Linked DNA regions of Lytechinus pictus. The protein of the gene in region 2 interacts with the protein of the main gene of each other region in a pairwise test. Links are inferred from orthologs where the notes say so. Each region holds a gene or a part of one and is shown on either strand. Other genes may lie near its edges.

The links.
Region 1: the proteins of general transcription factor IIE subunit 1-like (region 2) and transcription initiation factor IIE subunit beta-like interact in a two-hybrid assay, tested with the Drosophila melanogaster proteins (2 studies listed by BioGRID). The link is inferred for Lytechinus pictus from reciprocal best matches to the Drosophila melanogaster genes TfIIEalpha and TfIIEbeta.

The regions. Positions count from the first base shown.
Region 1 is NC_087247.1:27,122,815-27,131,915, forward strand, and holds the start of transcription initiation factor IIE subunit beta-like, read left to right. Parts: upstream 1-5,238; 5' UTR 5,239-5,327; intron 5,328-6,956; 5' UTR 6,957-6,980; coding exon 6,981-7,128; intron 7,129-7,795; coding exon 7,796-7,893; intron 7,894-8,834; coding exon 8,835-8,942; intron 8,943-9,101. Other genes in the region: uncharacterized protein LOC129257518, read right to left, coding at 600-680, 2,277-2,333, 3,227-3,449, 4,856-5,022.
Region 2 is NC_087248.1:6,411,826-6,421,646, reverse strand, and holds the start of general transcription factor IIE subunit 1-like, read right to left. Parts: upstream 3,709-9,821; 5' UTR 3,603-3,708; intron 3,182-3,602; exon of another isoform or gene 3,102-3,181; intron 1-3,101. Other genes in the region: uncharacterized protein LOC129259117, read left to right, coding at 9,183-9,821.

The DNA.
Region 1 (9,101 bases), on a different chromosome or scaffold from region 2:
GTGCAAGTACATGTATATAACCTTAGTCTTTTCATCAGGGTCATTCTCATCTTTAATGGTGATATATGTATTTTTTATTATTATTATTATGGATATATTCCTTAAACTGCTTGTGCACTGTAAAAGCTAGCCGTGATAACGCCAGGGTAATCAATATCCAAGTCCTTTGAAAGCGTCTAGAGATGTTAAATGGTACACGATATGTGCTACACAAAAAACTAAATATCATTATCATTTCTTTCACCTCATGCGCAAATCTCGTGCCATCACACTCATGCCTATTCGCCATTTGTATATATTGATAGGGCAAAATCTAGCTAAGAAATAAATTATTTTCAAAAGATAAAGATATATATGGATAACGTACATGGCTTAAATCAATCTATGGCAATCCAAGGCCAGGCCTGGGATACCCTTTTCACCTTTTCCCCAGAATAAAAATTGGCCTGATGGAAAATTGGCCTCGGCCTAAAACTATTGAATATTTGATTGTCAAGATTTCATGTGTGCATAGATGTAGCCCAATATTACATGCAAATTATAGAAAATGGTTTTAAATATACTAGGAGAATTAGAACGAGGAAATTATCACTACTCACAGATTCTGGGAATCTCTTTAAATTAGTTGATGCACTTTGAGCTGAGAAATGAAGTCTTTTTAACCTGACATGTGGATTAACCTGCCAAAAGAAAAGAAACCATGAAATTAATTTCATCTTTTATAAATCAATTTTTATTTGGCAATTCACCTTTCATTTGATTCATTGTTAAACAAATTACAATATATCCATTCCTTGATTAATACTATTACTCATTGCTTAATTGATTGTTCATTCATTCATTCATTCATTCATTCATTCATTCATTCACTCACTCACTCACTCACTCACTCATTCATTTTCATTCATTCATGTTCTTAATCAGATCTTCCTAATATAACACAAATTATAATTGACACTAAATTGAACAAATGTATGGAACTTAATTTCAAGTGAAATCTCGATATATCCACTCAATTTCACACAGTCCGACCTCTCTTATCCGGCCTCCCGTTATCCGGATCTCTCTATTATCCGGACGCACACTTGCCGAGATTTTTTTTTTCAATTCAATCTAGTACTTGAGGAAATGAGATTTGAATCTAAACTCATTCCTATACGCAAACTCACTTTGATTACATATATTTTCCAATATAGTCTACATACAACAACATTATTTTTCATGAAAATATCTCACCTAAATCACAGAAAGAACTTAGGCAGGATAATTTTCCAGTAAATAAGGGCGCATAGCAATATTTGATCATGTTCTCTTTTTGTTTCCCAAGAAAAACAACACATGTCTCGCTAGCTTACACTATAGGCCTTAATACGGACAGCGCCATCTATCATGTTTGAGCCTACAGTCAGTATAACAATGGCTGACATTGCGAAGCTGCGATACCCGCCGCGATGATCTAATCATAAAACTTTGTTTCATCGAGTCATTCTCTTTCTTTCGAGGTATGCTCGATGTATACCTCAACCATTTTAGCAGGTAAATTATCCAACAGTTTGGGCCTTCGATCGATTTCATTTCCGTAAAAATACCGCCTATAATTTGCACCGACACTGCAGAGAATACTGTCTGTACGCGCGCCCACTACAATACATGTAGATAGCGTGTCGCTACCGCCGTTGGGGAGCTGAGTGTATTTAATATTGGGTCTCCCAGATCCGGATAAATCCCTTATCTGGATTGGTGCTGGTCCCGTGTCCGGATAAGAGAGGTCAGACTGTATAACAAAAATGGGACCATTTGATCCCTTTTCTTGTCAGATGAACGATGTATTAGAATGGACGATGGAAATTATGAATGCAGGGCCCGCTGGAAGATTGGCTAATAGCTGAAGTTGCTACCTTGGGCAAATAAGAGCTTATTATTATTAATATTAATCCTCCTCCCCATCATTATCATCATCTCATCATCATCTAAACCATGAAAGTTATCAATATCAACATCATCATAAGTACAATAAGCATTGCCATTATCATCACCATCATCATCAGCAGCATCATCATCATCATCATCATCATCATCTTCATCATCATCATCATCATCATCACCACCATCATCATCACCATCATCAGCAGCAGCAGCATCATTATCATATCATCACCATCAGCAGCAGCAGCATCTTCTTCATCTTCATCTTCATCATCATCATCATTATCATTATCAGACACTAATGGTAATAATAAATTTCAACAACAAATATCAAATAATTTATGACTTACAGGCAAGAATTGGTAGATGGACCTCACACTGTCTGGGCTGCATCCTACTTTAAGAACCTGCCATGTTTAATGCATGGAGTAGAAACCAGAATGAAAATCTTAACACCTAAACAATGTGTCAGTAAAACATAAAACTTATGAAGAAAAAAAAAATATATATATATATATTAACCTTTTCCATTTGTTTATGGTCTTGAGACATGTTTTGTTCACATACTAGATCAATATTGCATTTAGATTCCTCTTAAGATCATACTAATGCTGATAATCATGTGCATTTTGAACTTCATAAATAAATTAGATTAAGTACACTAGCAGATATCTTTGATGCAAATTAGAGTATACCCAGGCCGGTACCTTAATTGAAACTATTAAAAACTCATTTGAGAAGAAAGTCAGGAAAAAAATCTACATAGCAAAGGGAGTGTGTCATGAAGCATATCTTGACAGCAATTTTTAACTAATTTGTTATGAGCCAATCAGATGCAAGGATTTCAGTAGATTAATTGTTCCAAGAAATGCATCCCTGATGTATTAAAACAATATCATGCGAAGTCAAACTTCCCCAGGAATCATATATTTTAAAAGCAATAGCATAGACCTACCTGTCAAGTGCCAACCATGTAGGCCCAAAATAGGAACAAATTACGAAGAACTTTCAAGGAACAGGAAGACTTAAACTTTCCTATTCAATAGGCCTACTACAGATTTTTTTTTCACAGAAATAGGAACCTAAGGTAAACTTACTAAGGTTAACTAAACAGAGCAAGTTTCTTTTCCCCAAAATAGAACTTTCTATTTTTATGAAACAGGAAATTCTTAAATTTCCTCTTTATGCTAAAGATTTTTTTTTTCACAGAAAGAGGGACATATGACTTAAAATGGCAATGTTCTTCTTTTCAAAAATAGGAATAGTGCTATTTAACAGGAACACTGGGCAGGAGCAGTACCTTTGCACAAAGTCCTCTTCTCCCCGCATCACAGTCCACTTCATAATCCCACCTTGCGTGAGACATCCACCAACCATCAATGCTTATCTCTGACGATTCGATGATCCGACTCGATAACAAGTTTGTTGACCTTTCCTGCAGGTCACCCAGGTTGCCAAAGTCATCCTGGTCTTCAGTATCGTACTTTTGGTCCTGTCTGCTCTCAAACAGATCTTTGTAGACTCTTGAGAATTCAATCAGACATGTGCATATTGGCAGTTTAGTTAGTGATAGTACTGTTCCTACTTGCTCATGCATAATTTTGATTGGTAAGTTGAATGAATGGATGGATGGATGAATAAATAACCCGGGGGGGGGGGGGGGCACTCAGTATATAATGCGATATGGGTATGTGCCGCGGAGGGGACTCCCATTTGTACACTCAAATTTCTGTTTTTATTTTATCTTATTGAGAAAAAGAACAAAGAAAGCCACTCCAATTAAAGCATAGCATTTTCTTCTTATCGAGAAAAAAGAAGAAAGAAATCCGCTCCAAAGCTTCGCATATTTTTCGTTACGCCATTCCGGCCGCATTGATCTGCTACAATGAGATGCAATTTTGGTGAAAACTGCTGTTTGACCATTGCCTCTAGCTCTGTGTGAGCGCAACCGGCGCCCGTGCCGCACCGCCGGGCTAGCTGCATGCACGTTCCATAGGGATGCATACACACTCACACGCAGGCGACTCGTTCCAAAGACCCCCGTTTTCACAAACATTTGTAGTTCTGAAGCCTGTTCCGAGGACCCTCCTTTTTACAATAAACCCGCTCCAGAGCCCCCGTTTTTGTCTTGCCCGCGGCACATACCTACCACTCTTTGGGTCAAGTACCCCCCCCCCCCCCCCCGGATAAATGAATGAATGAAAAGATGGATGGATAGATGAATGAATTGACGAATGAATACATAAATAAATGCATGATGAATGAGCGAATGTTAAATGAAAGAATGAATGGGTAAATAAATGTTAATTCATTCATAATCAAACTATAACTAGATGCTGGTACTAAGAATGTTCACATGAGTTTTATGTACACATAAATGGTTAATGAATAATAAAAATATATGTTAATTATTAAATAGGTTAAAAATCTATGTTATCATCTACTGAACATCCAATTCTAAATTCTATTGATTATACTATGATTGGCAAAAACTATTTTATAACAAATGATAATGATTGATTCAAATTGCACTTTTAAAAATTCAATTCTTCCCTTTCGATCAATACTACTTTGGTCTCGATCAATTTTTTTTCCCTTTTATTTTAAAATAAGATTCCAAAGTCAAGTTACTTAATGGTGGGCAAGTTTATTTTTATTAAGTTCTCTAAAAAATAATCCAAGCAATCCAAGCAATAACATTTAAATCATCTACTGCAACTGTACAAACACTACCCAACTCAAGTTCCACCTCCATCCACCACCTGCAATTAGATGCACCGCCCATCACCGGGCAGGCATCCACCTCCTCCACTACACACAACTTCATTCAATGCGAGCACATGCACAGATGGCATTATCATCATCATCATCACCCAATAATCACACAGACACCCCTTCAAACCATTTACCTTTAGTGAGCTGAACTTACCTTCCATTATTCTCCTTGTCTAGAATAGACACAACATTCATGTACATAAGCACTAAAGATATTGTTAGAGTGATGAACAAGCACCAAATCACTCTTTTGACATGAATACGACGAAAATAAAGATAAGCAAGCCCTGTTTTGGTATCCGTGGACGAAGCCATTTTCATCTAAGACTAGTCTTCACGCCAAACTAACTTTAGATTTGTTATCTTTAAAAGTAATTAAATGTCCTTTTAGAATATGATTATGAGACATTTTTCGACTCTGTGAGCATAATAATCAATATACAAAATTGATAATTTACTAATCTAGTATTCTACAGTGATTATATTAAAAATAAGGAAATCAATTGACATTAACCCGCCTGCGCCTCGAGAGTAGCCTACATACATAAGCCTAGCTATAAATGAAGGAAGGAATTAGGAACTGCATCGATTTTTGATAGAATTAAAACGTTGTATTCGTTTCTTGGGTGAGTATCAACCATGAAAACATTGTATTTGAAATAATTAGAATTATCGAATATTATAAATTGTGTGGTTTGTTGTACAGATGCCTTGGAAATTTAGGAAAAACCTTACTAAGAAAAGACGTAACGTTAGGCCTTAGGGCAATCTTTTCACGGAAGGCGAAGGACTCAAGCCTGGACAAGGAGAGCCACCGCCGCCGCCGCCGCCGAAGGCTCCGGCGGCGGAGGTCGGACAATGATGTGTAGACTCGGCTCGCGAGGGGTAACTGTTGCATTTGGGTACTTTCCATTAAGGGCTACACTCAAATCGATTCTTAAAGACTTAATGCTTTCGTCTTGCAAAGCTGACCCACAAAAATCTTATAATAAGATCCCAAAAAGATGGGTTTTTTTCATGCCATGGGCATGGCCATTGCAAATCATACAAAACGTTGTTGAACAATGACAATGTCAAAAAATGAAGTTAAAAAAAAAAAAGGCATCCAATGGCTAGACAGGAATAACCGTCGTTTCTGGGGATTTATTCAACAATTTCTGACATTTTACTGTAATCCCCATTTACCGACGGTAGGGTGTACGTGTGGGCTCGCATGTGTTCTCATTCCCTCCCTTTTGTCAATTCACAGTCCAAAGTTTGATGTAATTTTACACATCGAATTTACAATCTAAGGATGTATAAACAACAAACTTTTAAAACTTTATATTTTAACATTTAAATACTTTAAACGATATAGATGAAAAAGGCATGAAAAATATACTTTACCGATGTTTAATTGGGTTGAACACGATAAAAATGGTCAAAATGGCAGCCAAACTATAAAATATTTACAAACGAACGTCAACAATCACGAATGTGATATCGATATTGCTTTCGATATTATACGATCTGCTCCATATGCGAACGAAACCGAAGATAAACGATACTAGTTATACTAGTACTAGTACTAGTTATAATCGCGATATATCGATTCGAGACATTAAGTTAATACGATAATGACGTCATTCAAGATGGCAACTTGCAAGAAAAACCATCAGGTCAGGTGAAAATGTCTTAGATGACAGATTTCTCAATCATCCAGAGGATTTTTTTCAATAACTCCGGCCCAAGGTATGCAATTACTTAAGTTATTTATATTTACCTGATAATGGAAACCATTAAACTTTCAATTTTGCTTAAAAAACAGTTTTAAATCGCGATCTATAAAACGCTAGTTCACTATACGTTGGCTGTAGGTACGGGGCCCCATCCCCTTCAGTCTATGTATGGTGAGTGGAGCCAACGTAGTTCAGCGGAACAACCAAAATACAGAGACTGAAGCTTTTGGTCTATCCAATGGCATGCCATGTGCATGGCAATGAAATGCAAAAAGAAAAGTAAATTTGAATTTGGCAAAGATTGTTGGTAAGAGAAGTTAGAGAACAGATAGCTCATATTTGCCCTCAAAATTAAAAACATGAAATACCAAAGGCAAAGATTTGGTCTAGGCAGTATAAATTAATAATGGAATGTGCACACATTTTTTGCTGTGCAATTAACAGTCCTTGACATGGAGCCTAAAGTTAAAAATCCTGCTCATCTCAGTATATTATAAAATTAGATTTACATGCCTTTCTTATCTTCTTTTGGTATAGGATTTCTTTACAAGCGTAACCAGAATGGATCAAGCACTTCTGAGAGAAAGGGAAGCGTTCTTGAAGAGAGCAAAATCCCAACCTGTCATTGAGAAGAAGAGACCGAAAACTGGATTTTCCAACGAACCACCCCCAAAGAAAAAAAAGCCAGGCCCCGGATTTTCAGAACCAGGTAGGCCTATGTAGTTAATTATCTCAAACTTGGGACTGGTAACATAAAGCTAAGCAATTGATTATTAGGCTGATTTCTTTGATAGATTGCATTGATTATTGTGTGTGATCAGTTGTAAAAATGAGCCCCATGATCAATTACAGATCTGTATGGGCCCTGAAGCTGATACTGTATAATTTGCATTAGCAGGAAAAAAGGTACATGGGATTCAAACAGTGATTGGTTCCCAACACATTTCAAACGACCCTATGAATTTGCATTAGAAATCACAGTGAGTTTTCTAGGAGTAGGAAAATAGCCTCCATAATCCTTTAATAGTTGTTTGAGTGCGTTGTTTACAAGTGATTAAAGTAACTCGGTCTCTTCGGTTTAGAAATCACTGCAGGAGCATTAAGTTGTTGTCTGAATTGCATTAATTTATTGGTTGAAAACCATTCTGCTGTTCTATATGTTTCGGGTATGTAACGATATGTGATGAATTGTAATGATATGCTCTGTATGTTAAGCATGATGTTTTTGTGAATTTTATAACTAAAAACAAGTGAATTGGGATAGAATACCATCACAGACCAAAAAATAAAAAGTGAGTTTCCCATCTTGAGCAAAAAACACAATAACCAGGATAAATCAGGTTTTAATATTTCTTTGGATTTTTTTTTTTTTTAAGGTTCTAGTCGATTGTCAACAGGCCTGAATTACAAGACCCATGCTGGTAGTTCCAAATATAAGTTTGGCATCCTGGCAAAAATTGTAAACTTTATGAAGGTAAGTTTGAGAAATGCATATGTATCAACCTTTTTTTCTGTAAAAAAATTGTACATTTGACCTATATAATAATTGATTGTTCAATTGGATTGTTGGTGTTGATTTTGATGGGCTTTATTCAAGCTTACATGTGTGTCACCTGTTTGCAGCAAACATTTTGTTCCAGATGGGGTGCTCATTACACCTTGCATTTCAGATATATGTCAGTCTTTGTGTATGTTGAATTTTTGTGGTTACAGTTAACATTTTTACACTAGTAATGATTATTCTCCCCAATTTTTTTCTCATCCTCTCTGTCTCAGTTTCTCTCGCTCTCTTTATCTCTCTACCTCACTCTTTCTGTCCCTGATTTCCTTTCCCATTTTCTTCCTGTCCCTTCTTCTCTCTGCATCCATATGTAATTAGGGTTCTAGGAAATGCGCTTCCATTATCTAATAAATGGAAAATTTAGTGTTCACATCTTATTAACACACAAAAGTGTTACCAGTTGTGTAAAGTCTTGTGTAAATTCTAAGGGAACTTATGAACAGCTTTATGCAACACCTTTAGCCTGTTTCATAAAGACTTGCAAACTACATGTAGGTAACTTTGCCATTAGGACAACTACCATGATACTAGGCTCATCAGCCAAGCACAATCGATGTTTCCATGGTAGTTACAATAATGGCAAAGAAGTTATTAAAGCTATAACTCTTTACGAAACAGGCCTCGTGTTTGCGTATCATGACATAACATACCTATACTAAAAATTTTGATTGATGTTGGTTCTGATTGATTGTCCTGAAGTCTAAATGTCTTACTTATAGTGTGGTTTATTATATTTATTTAAGAAATTTTGCCATTTTAATAAAAAAAAACTACCTTCACCATCAAATGGAACGTTTCTAGTGTTTTTGTGATTTTTAATTTTGTTGCTCTTTTGTTGATCTTCTGGTGTACAGACGCGGTATCAGGACGGTGACTTCTATCCACTGAACATTGATGAGATCCTGGATGAAACCAAGCAGCAAGATGTCGGTCAGAAACAGAAGATGTGGCTGGTCAATGAGGTGGGTAGTCCTGATAGGACATTGTCTGAAATTAGCCAAGTGTAGGCACAAACCGTAATTGCTGCTTCAATCATCGTGTGGGTCTTGAATGAATTCAACCACAATTCCATGATAAGCCAACAAAAATTCAGACCAGGGCCCCGTGTTACAAAGAGTTAC
Region 2 (9,821 bases):
CATTATACGAGTAGCTTCAGATTATTTTATTTGGTATAAGATAAAATCGAGATACAATCATTGACATAAACAATGTAGTACATAAAATACCAGAATTGCTAGCAAAAAGTAAAAAACCTGTAAACAAGCAACCCTCAAGATACAAAATAATGAAATACAATAATACAATAAAATTAGATACAAAATCTAATTTATCTATTTTGTAAAAAAAAAATTGTAAATTTTGTGTTTTTCATTATTGTGTGACTTAATGAAAACGAAAACTGTCATTATAAGTATATGGTAACATATATTTTAGTTTATACGTAAATAAAGATGTGCCTTGGGAAAGAATATCTGCAAATTTAAGTAATTTCAAAGATTTAAACAAAGGAGAGGTATGTGCCCTGAAGGAGGCGTTGCAGCATCAACGAACATCCCGTTTTTGAAGTATGAAAAGGGTTTTTAAAAATTTAACAAATGTTCTTGCCCATATAAGATTACAATACATTAAGTACGGATATACAAGTGTATGATATAGAGAAAGCATGGCAGAGGATGGTAAAAAAACTTTTTAAATTACACCGAATTACATCGAATCTTCTTGGAAATTATTTCAATATGTTTTTCCCACAAAAGTTTATTATAGTTATACCTAAGAAATTTGCAAATTGAACTTGGTTGATATATTTACCGTCCAATTTTAAAATTATGTATTCAATATATATATTTTTTTTTTCCCCCGTTTCATTAATTTTCAATTTATTTGCAGAAAACCAATTAGCAACATTCTGCAGTTCAACATTTTCTTCAGAAATCAAGTCTTTAAATGTTATACCTGAATGGAATATGTTCGTGTCGACAGTATATTATAATGTAATTTCTTTAAAGATTCAACAATGTCGTTTATGAACAACGAAAATAATAATATACTACCTTGAGGCACACCTTGTCGTATAAAAATATATTCTTTTTGATAAATTAATTCTAAACCATTCCAAGGGAATACCTCTAATTCCATAAAAATTATTTTTTTTATAAGATTTGGTGATCCAGACAATCGAATGCTTTGCTAAGGTCTACGTAGACCCCCAAAGCTATCTCTTTCTTTTCGTTGAATTTGTACAGAAGTTCAGAAGCAAAAAGCAAAGCTCACTCTGTATAATAAAATTTTCGAAATCATATTGCTCCGAAAATAAATGAATTATTCAGGAAAGTAAATAATCGATTGCATATTTTTCTAGAATAAAAAAAAAGGTTGGACAGCAATTAAATTGGACGATAGTTTGATAAATCTTTTTTGTCAACCTTTTTAATAGGGCTATAACTTTTGAAACATTCATTGAATTTGGAAATGGTCCAGATTGAAACGATAAATTAAACACGTGGGTTAAAGGTTCAACAATTATGATTATTTTCTTTACAAGAAATGGTGGCATATCATCAACCCCACAGAAATGTTTATTTCTTAAAGAGCCAGATACCTTCAATTCTTAAAAATTCCGTTTCTGTCTGTAGATGAAAAATAAAAAAGGAGTGAGTTGAATAATCACGAAAACATCTAATGGACCTCGTATTATCAACACAACCATCATTAACAAAAAAAAAGAGTTAAAAGCATTTGCAATTGATTTCTGTTCAGCCTCACGCGCCATGCATCTTTACGGATGAATGAAGGTTCTTTACCGAGCAGGCTGTTAGGAATTTTCCAAGTTTTCGATTTGAGTTTTGCAGCAAAATATTTTTGTTTAAAGACACGAATAATATGAATAAGTTTGTTTTTATAGGATGTGTATTTTTTTCTTCATGTTATGGATTTTCAGTTTTAAATACTGCTTAAATAAGCGTTCCTTCTTACTAATGGATTTAAGAATGCCTTTTGTAATCCAGGTTTTTTGTGTGTGCTCTAATTCTATCTTTACCGGGTGATGTCCTTGAATACTTGCGATATAATCTCTTTCAAACCCTTAACAAAAGTTTCGTAAGCTACGTTGACATTGGATAAGGTTGTCGCAGAGGACAACTTGTTACATGCTAAGACTGGTGTTAAGCGTGGGTTTTATTATTCAAATGGGTGTGGTAACTTGGTGGAAAATAGTTCGTTAATTGAAATATGGGGAAATGGTCAGATAGGTCTGAATAGAAAATACCAGGTAGGATCGCCTTATCCAGCACATTTGTAAAGATATTATCAATACAAGTAGAATAATTGATTGTACCACGAGTTGGTCTCGAGATAAGTGGGGAAAAGAGGATGAAGCCCGATGAATATTGTGTCGATGAAAGCACTAGTATCAGAATGAAGGGCATAACTAAGTAAATCAAAGTTAAAGTCACCATCAATATAACAGTGTTTCTTTTCTTTGACATGCTTAAAAAAAGGTCATTAAACTCAACACCACTAGTATCGGGAGCTTTGTATACAGTTCCAACAATCAAATTCTGAAGTTCCTTCATGATTTCAATAAAGACCGGCAGTATCAATAGTTGAGGTACAAAAGTATAAATCAGTCATCAGCTTGAAAGTGACATTATCCTTGATATACATACACCACCTCCTATAGGCGATCACTTCTATATTTTTGAATTAGTTTATAATTTGTTATGTAATTTAAATGCATAAATTTCTATTTTAATAGCTCGTGATGACTGATTCTTTTTTTCTCTCAGGAGCAGGTGTGACACAAAATTTTCTGAAGTTGATATACTGAAGGTGCAATAAAAAATATCTTCAATTTCTTGAGAAAAATGAAATTTTATTGATTTTTTTTCAATCCATGATATATTGGAAGCTGCTCACACATGACGACACAAATAAAAAACGTGAAAATACTAATAACTTTTTAAATCTTTGATAGATTTTCCCTCAAACCTTCACTCATTTTTTTTCTGCTATATTTACAATAAACTTTTTGTCAGGGTAAACATCCCCTTTAAAAATGTCATAACTTTGTCTTATTTTACGTCCAATTTTCACGAAAATTAAGTATTACGCTTGTTGGATTTTTTCCCTTTTTATTCAAATCCACTTTTGGTTGGGATTGACTTGTCCTTTAACTAGATGCACAGAAGAGCGCCATCGTTTTATTTTGAAAAATGCTAATTTTAAACCACGCCGCGCCGCATATCACATGCACATGATGAAGAGGTCAGTGATCACATCGCAAGCAAGCAAGAAGGAGGTAAACATTGGGCCTGTTGGGTAAAATTTTTACAGTAATTCATATTATCAAATATTTAAATTAATCTTTTTATCTGAGGGTGATTGTGTACATGTATGTGCAGAGTGATGTGAGGTTCTTTGTCGATTAACTGCATTTCTAAAAATAATTATGGTGACGAAATCGAAGTTGGAAATGTCCCAGGTACGTGTTAGACCCTCGCTTGGCACACGTGACATGAATGCGTGATACGTCTGTGAAAGCAGACTGCCCCTGCTGTTGACCATGAACGCAGAAAAGCGTAACAAGGTTTAATAGAGTCATATTATATCATTCGAAATCAAAATACCAAGAGTTCTTCTTTTAAAACGACATGATCAGTTTTGTAGGATCAAATAATATGAAAACTATGATTGTCTGACGAATATGACGATTTCGAATGATTGCCGAAAACGCAATTACCTGATTGGTCAAGCTCCGACTGTGAGGCAGCGCAGCGAGGATGTCATTTTCCGCACGAAACTCGGGAGGGAGACGATGTTTTCCTACAGCTACAGACTATTCTATGAAAACAAATAAATAGTACGAATTTTGGGTGAAATCGAGAAAAGCAAAAGCCCTTAATCATTTTATCAAGAGGCAAAAACTGTCATTTTAATTAAACCCAAACGTTCGATTGCGGTTACAACTTACAAGCATATGATGACTCATTACTTCAGTCCCACGTGTGTAACTCCCTGTATCCATTTTCACTCTGATAACCAGCATGACCAGCGAAGACGGCAGGCGTTTCATTACAATTAAAATGCCTGGCATGCATGCGATCCAGCTACACAATAAGCCTGTTCACGGTTGTAAACTGCGCACGAGTAGAAAAAAGTCATTTGAGATAAACCATGAAGGTGGCTTTCAAATTCACTGACATAGGCATTTGTGATTTGATGATTATTCATGAATCATGTATTCCTTTCAAAATATTTCTTTTTATCACATCCAAGCTGAAGAGTAATAAATAGAGCCTTCATAATCACTGGTATTTGACAGTAGCCTAAACAATAGTCAAATGTGCCAAGGGCAGACAATAAAACAGATTTCCAAATTTTATAACCGATGTACTTTTCTAGTCACCCTGGTGCACTGGTGGTCTATACAATGCCTTTTGTTCTTAGAATTTGAATACTCTACCGGTAAAGCTTACGCAACATCTACATTTGAAAATGATAGTGCTTATCCTAATGAAAAATCACAAAGGTCATTTGAGAAAAGTTGATCATGAGCTAACCGTGAACTGGCTTATACTAATGCATGCAAATCTCCTTTCCACTTTGAGTATAATCTCCATGTTTTTGTTTGAGGCTCTTGGATCCATGATACTAGGCCTAGTGTATGCCCGGACAGGTTGTTATACTTTGTTATACCGAGGTTTTTACCTGACTGCTAAGAAAGCACGAATGCCTGTGAGCAAGCAACCAGGGGACCAACGGCTTAAGGTCCTCTCCGAGGGACCTGGTAAAGAGGATAAATGTCTTACCAAAGGGCACTAGCGCACCATTTGGGAATAGAACCCGGGACACCGGAATCCGAAACCCCCGCTCTACCGACTGAGCTATCATGTGTCCGTACAATAGATTTTTAACAGCCATTAAAGGAAAATGAAACCTTTGAAACAAGAAAGCCTGTGCTAAAACAGAAAAAATCAAAAACAGATCAACAAAAGTTTGAGAAAAATTGAATAAATAATAAAGTTATGAGCATTTGAAGTTAAGATAATTATCATAATGTAGATCCTCCCATTGGCAATGCAACAAAGATGTGTGATGCCACTTGTGAACAACTTTACCATTACTTTTCTATATATTTCACTTAAACTGCCTCTTTTATCACATCTATCAGTAGATCATGTATTATTTCTATAAGAGGGCATGTAATATTGATTTTTAAAGAATACATTATGGATAAAGAGTTTGTATCACTGTAAGAAAGAGCAAAAAAGGACATTTTAGGGGTATTTTATAGTACCTTACAGGGAAAGTTGTTCACATGTGATATCACACATCTTTGTTGCATTGCCAATAGGGTGGATCTCCATAGCATTAGTGATCGCAATATTCAAAATTTCAAATGCTCATAACTTTCTCATTATTTTTCAGATTTTTCTCAAACTTTCTTAGATCTTATTTGATTTTTTTCTTTCCACACAAGCCCATTTGTTCCAAAGGTTTCATTCCCCTTTAAGTTTTCAGACACCCGACCCCCCATCCTACATTAGTTACCAGTATCATAACCAACAAGAAAATGACTTAAACCTATTGCAGTATTACATTAAAAATGAACTTGATATTGCCAAAGCTAAAGAAAAGTTAATGACATCAAGTATATCAACATCTCAAACCCATTTGCAGGTTTTTTACCATACTTTTTAGGGAGGAAGAGTGGGATACAGGATGAGAAGTTTAGATTATTAGAAACCATGCTGTATCTAACTATCACAACAGCGATTAATTGAATATAATCTTGATAAAAGCGAAAGCTTAATATCTACTACTACTCCTACTATTACTACTATTACTACAACTTCTACATCTATTTCTATATCTTCTACATCTACATGACTAAAAATAACTACTGCTGCTACTTCTATATTAGTCTTGCGTATTGCTTCTACTGCTAAATGATGATAATAAAATTAGATTGATTCATCTATTCCCGTCACCATATCTAATGGTTTTACTACAAAGTACTTAATGTTTTTGTTGATTCAAAAATTTAATTTTCCTACTTTGCATTCATGCCCCACCACCATGAAAACACAAAATTTAAGAAAAAAATAATCTACTGAGTTTCAAATGTGCAAATTAATGTCATGAAAAAGCCTTAAAGTTTAATGGTTCAAGCTACAGAGCGCATAGCAATTAATGAATTTATGAAAAAAATGACACCAATGAATATGTTCTTGACCTACAATGTGCCACATGATGACAGACTGAGCACTAGGAACCGTGTGCCTGTCCTGCAGGCATGGTCGGAGGTTAAACACTTCATGATTTTTTTTTATTTTGAACTTTAAAAATCCAAAGTCATATCAAAGGACATCTTACACTGAATATGATGCACATGTTGTCTTACTATATGTACATGTATATAATTCAATCACGTCTCCTAAACCCATGCATTTTCTCGCTAAAGATTGCAGAAGAATTTTGAACAGACGACTTTGCTGCTGCCAGACAGTGCAATAAACCATGTTCAGATAGCTCATCACCATTGTCTTGGGATTCGTTATTCCGAAGGTTTGGATATTCTGAAGGTTCGTTATTCCGAAGGTTCGTATTCCGAAAGGTTCGTAATTCCAAAGGTTCGTTAGTCCGAAAATGAAATGAAGTTTGTAATTCCGAAGGTCAGTTAATTCGAAAACGAAATGAGGTTCGTAATTCCGAAGGTTCGTTAGTCCGAAAACAAAATGAGGTTCGTAATTCCGAAGGTTCGTTAGTCCGAAAACGAAATAAAGTTCGTAAATCCGAAGGTTCGTTAGTCCGAAAACGACATAAGGTTTGTTAATCTGAAAATTGAATAAGGTTCGTATTTCCGAAACTGAAATTATTTCATTTTGTTAACAAGAACGCTGTTGTCATTACAAGATAACAGGATATTATGCAATAATAGTAATAACGAACGATGATACATGTGTGTGTTGTGGCCAGAGCATGTATTGCATTAAGAATAGGCGCCCAGATCAAGCAAAGGCTTAATTTCGATTTTATCTGAGCAATTGCTGCTTAAGCAGTAATAGGATTTGTATTGGAGGGGATGCCATTTTTAATAAGAGCTTCTGCTGGTAATAAAAATAATACTAATGATGATCATAATAATCCAAACGATGATCATAATAAAAATGGTAATAAAGAATATAAATGTTAATACAATTTTATTGATCGTTACGCCTAGTGTTAACAATGTTAATCCTTTTTTCATGATTACAAAAAATGCTCGGAATGTTTACTTTTTTTATGTGGGGCGTTGTGGCCCAATAATGGATTAGTCTTCTGACTATGAAATAGAGGGTCGTAGGTTCAAATCCCAGCCAAGGCGTAATTTCCTTCAGCAAGAAATTTATCCACACCTTGCTGCACTCAACCCAGGTGAGGTGAATGGCCTGGGTACCCGGTAGGAAGAAATTCTTTAAATGCCTTCCTTTGGGCGCCTAGGCAGCCCAGTTAAAGCCGGGGTAATAATAGCAGGGCCCGCTGGGAGAACAGTTTTCTGAACTGAAGTGGCTTCCCTGGGTAAATAATACCAATATTATTATCATTATGTCTTATTAGGCCTACAGGAAATTTCCAAAAGTTTGAGCTCGTGATTCGCTCGCAAAATCTCACAAGGATGCCCTTTAATAATTAACAGCAATAAGGTCCATAATTGACTAAAAAGCGAGTTTTACAACTTCAGATTTGAATTTTTTCCAAACTGCTTGCTTGCTACGCTTGCTCGTGAAAAATAGAACCTAAATGTATATCTTATCAATCAGAAATCAATTAAAAAACCTTTGCTCAACTTAATTACTACAAAACACACAATGACTTTACGCAGATTATAATCTCGTGGTGAAAATATCACCAAAGTGCCCATTTTGACGTACGAGTGTCATTTTTGGCTTTGCCCCCCAAATGAAAATTCGTTCGGCCGCCCTTGCCTTCCCATCCTCATAACAATTGAACAGCAACGGTGTTTCTCCCCCCCCCCCCCACCACACTTGCCCTTCCTCTGCTTTCCTGGTTTTCATTTTTCGGATTAACGAACCTTCGGAATAAAGAACCTTATTTCGTGTTCGGATTAACGAACCTTCGGAATAACAAATCTTATTTCGTTTTCGGATGAACGAACCTTCGGAACAACGAACCTTATTTCGTTTTCGGATAAACGAACCTTCGGAACAACGAACCTTTTTTGTTTTCGGATTAACGAACCTTCGGAACAACGAACCTTATATCGTTTTCAGATTAACGAACCTTCAGAACAACGAACCTTATTCCGTTTTTGGATTATCGAACCTTCGGAAAAACGAACCTTATATCGTTTTCGGATTAACGAACCTTCGGAACAACGAACCTTATTTCGTTTTCGGATTAACAAACCTTCGGAACAACGAACCTTATTTCGTTTTCGGATTATCGAACCTTCGGAATAACGAACCTTCGGAATTACGCCACAAATGTTCGGATTAACGAACCCTTTTTTCGTTTTCGGATTAACGAACATCGAGGTATAGGCAATTTACGTGTTTCGGAATTACGAACCTTCGAAATTACGAAGTGTAACCAAATTTTCACCATGTTGAATGCCAAATATGACTTTGATCATAAATATAGATGTGAAATCAATACAGATTGTCAGGAAATGGACGTTCAGACTGTGAGGTCCAGAACATTTTCTCCCCGAGCTCTTAGGTACATCCCTACCATGGCCGAGGCATTTGCTCAACACAAATTATAATCTAGAGGTTTGGCTATACAGGTCAAAAGGGGGTTTGCTTTTGGGAAGGGGGAGGCAGTTCTTTGTTCTATGATTAGAGGTGCTGGGAACTATTGACAATTATGGTTTTAAAAGGGTAGTCTAGACATCAAACATATGGGTCTTAACTGTATACATTAAAAAGATGTCTGCAATCACTACATAACATTACATGCAAGGTGGCAGTCTGACTGCTGCCCATACACATGCTTGCAAACACAAACACATTGCAGAGTACTTCAAAAGATACTGTAAAAGACAACTCTTTTTTCAACCAATCAGATGTAGAGGCAGTTCGTCCATCACAGCTAGCTATTAATATCAGACTCATTCCGCATTTACATTTTTTTTGCAAATCTTAAAAAGGTTTTGAGGAGCGCAAGAACAATTAGGAATACACCAGATTTCCATCAGGCTGACCACGAACAAGGAGCTGCATACACGTTTTCAAAACATTAAAGTACAGGTTTGTCTGTGAATAACAGGTATTTATCCCAACTTTATATTTCTTATTAAGTAGCAATTAGTAGAAACATGACAAGTCAATCTGGTGAAGAGCCAAGCCGCGTAGGAAAGTTTTGCACTGAATTGAATATAGATACAGAGATTTTGGAGAAAGGGTTATCTGGCGTGGCTGAAGGGTGGGTTAAACTGAATCATTTGAGGTTAGTTCGTGGGGTAGTTGGTGAATTAGATAAATGGTGTAGAGACCATAAATACAGTGTCAATGTACTTCCCAATTTGATAGCAACCCTGTTTGATGTGGGTGACGTAGATACGGATAACAAGGCGGTGAAAGTTAGGGTCCAGAGAGCAGTTGATGCTGTTCGCAAAGCACAAAAAGCGAGGGGAAAGTCGAGGGATGAAAATCTTGAAGTCATTGAGAGAACACTGTTCACATTACCTCACACAAGCAGAGAACAGAGGCAAATAGTAGATGTAGCACTTCATGCTGATGCAGGAGAGGGGGATGTCCCACCCATACCTGATAGGGAGCTTGTGGAGATTCGTGCAGAGAGGGATAGTTTAAGAGATAGTCTTGACAGTATTCGACTTGAGAAAGATCAGAAATTTCGGGAATTGTGCAACTCCAAACAAAAATTGACTTCTGAAATTGCTAGGACACGTGTACTAAAAACCTGCCTGAAGAGAAATGCTAAGAAAATTAAAGAT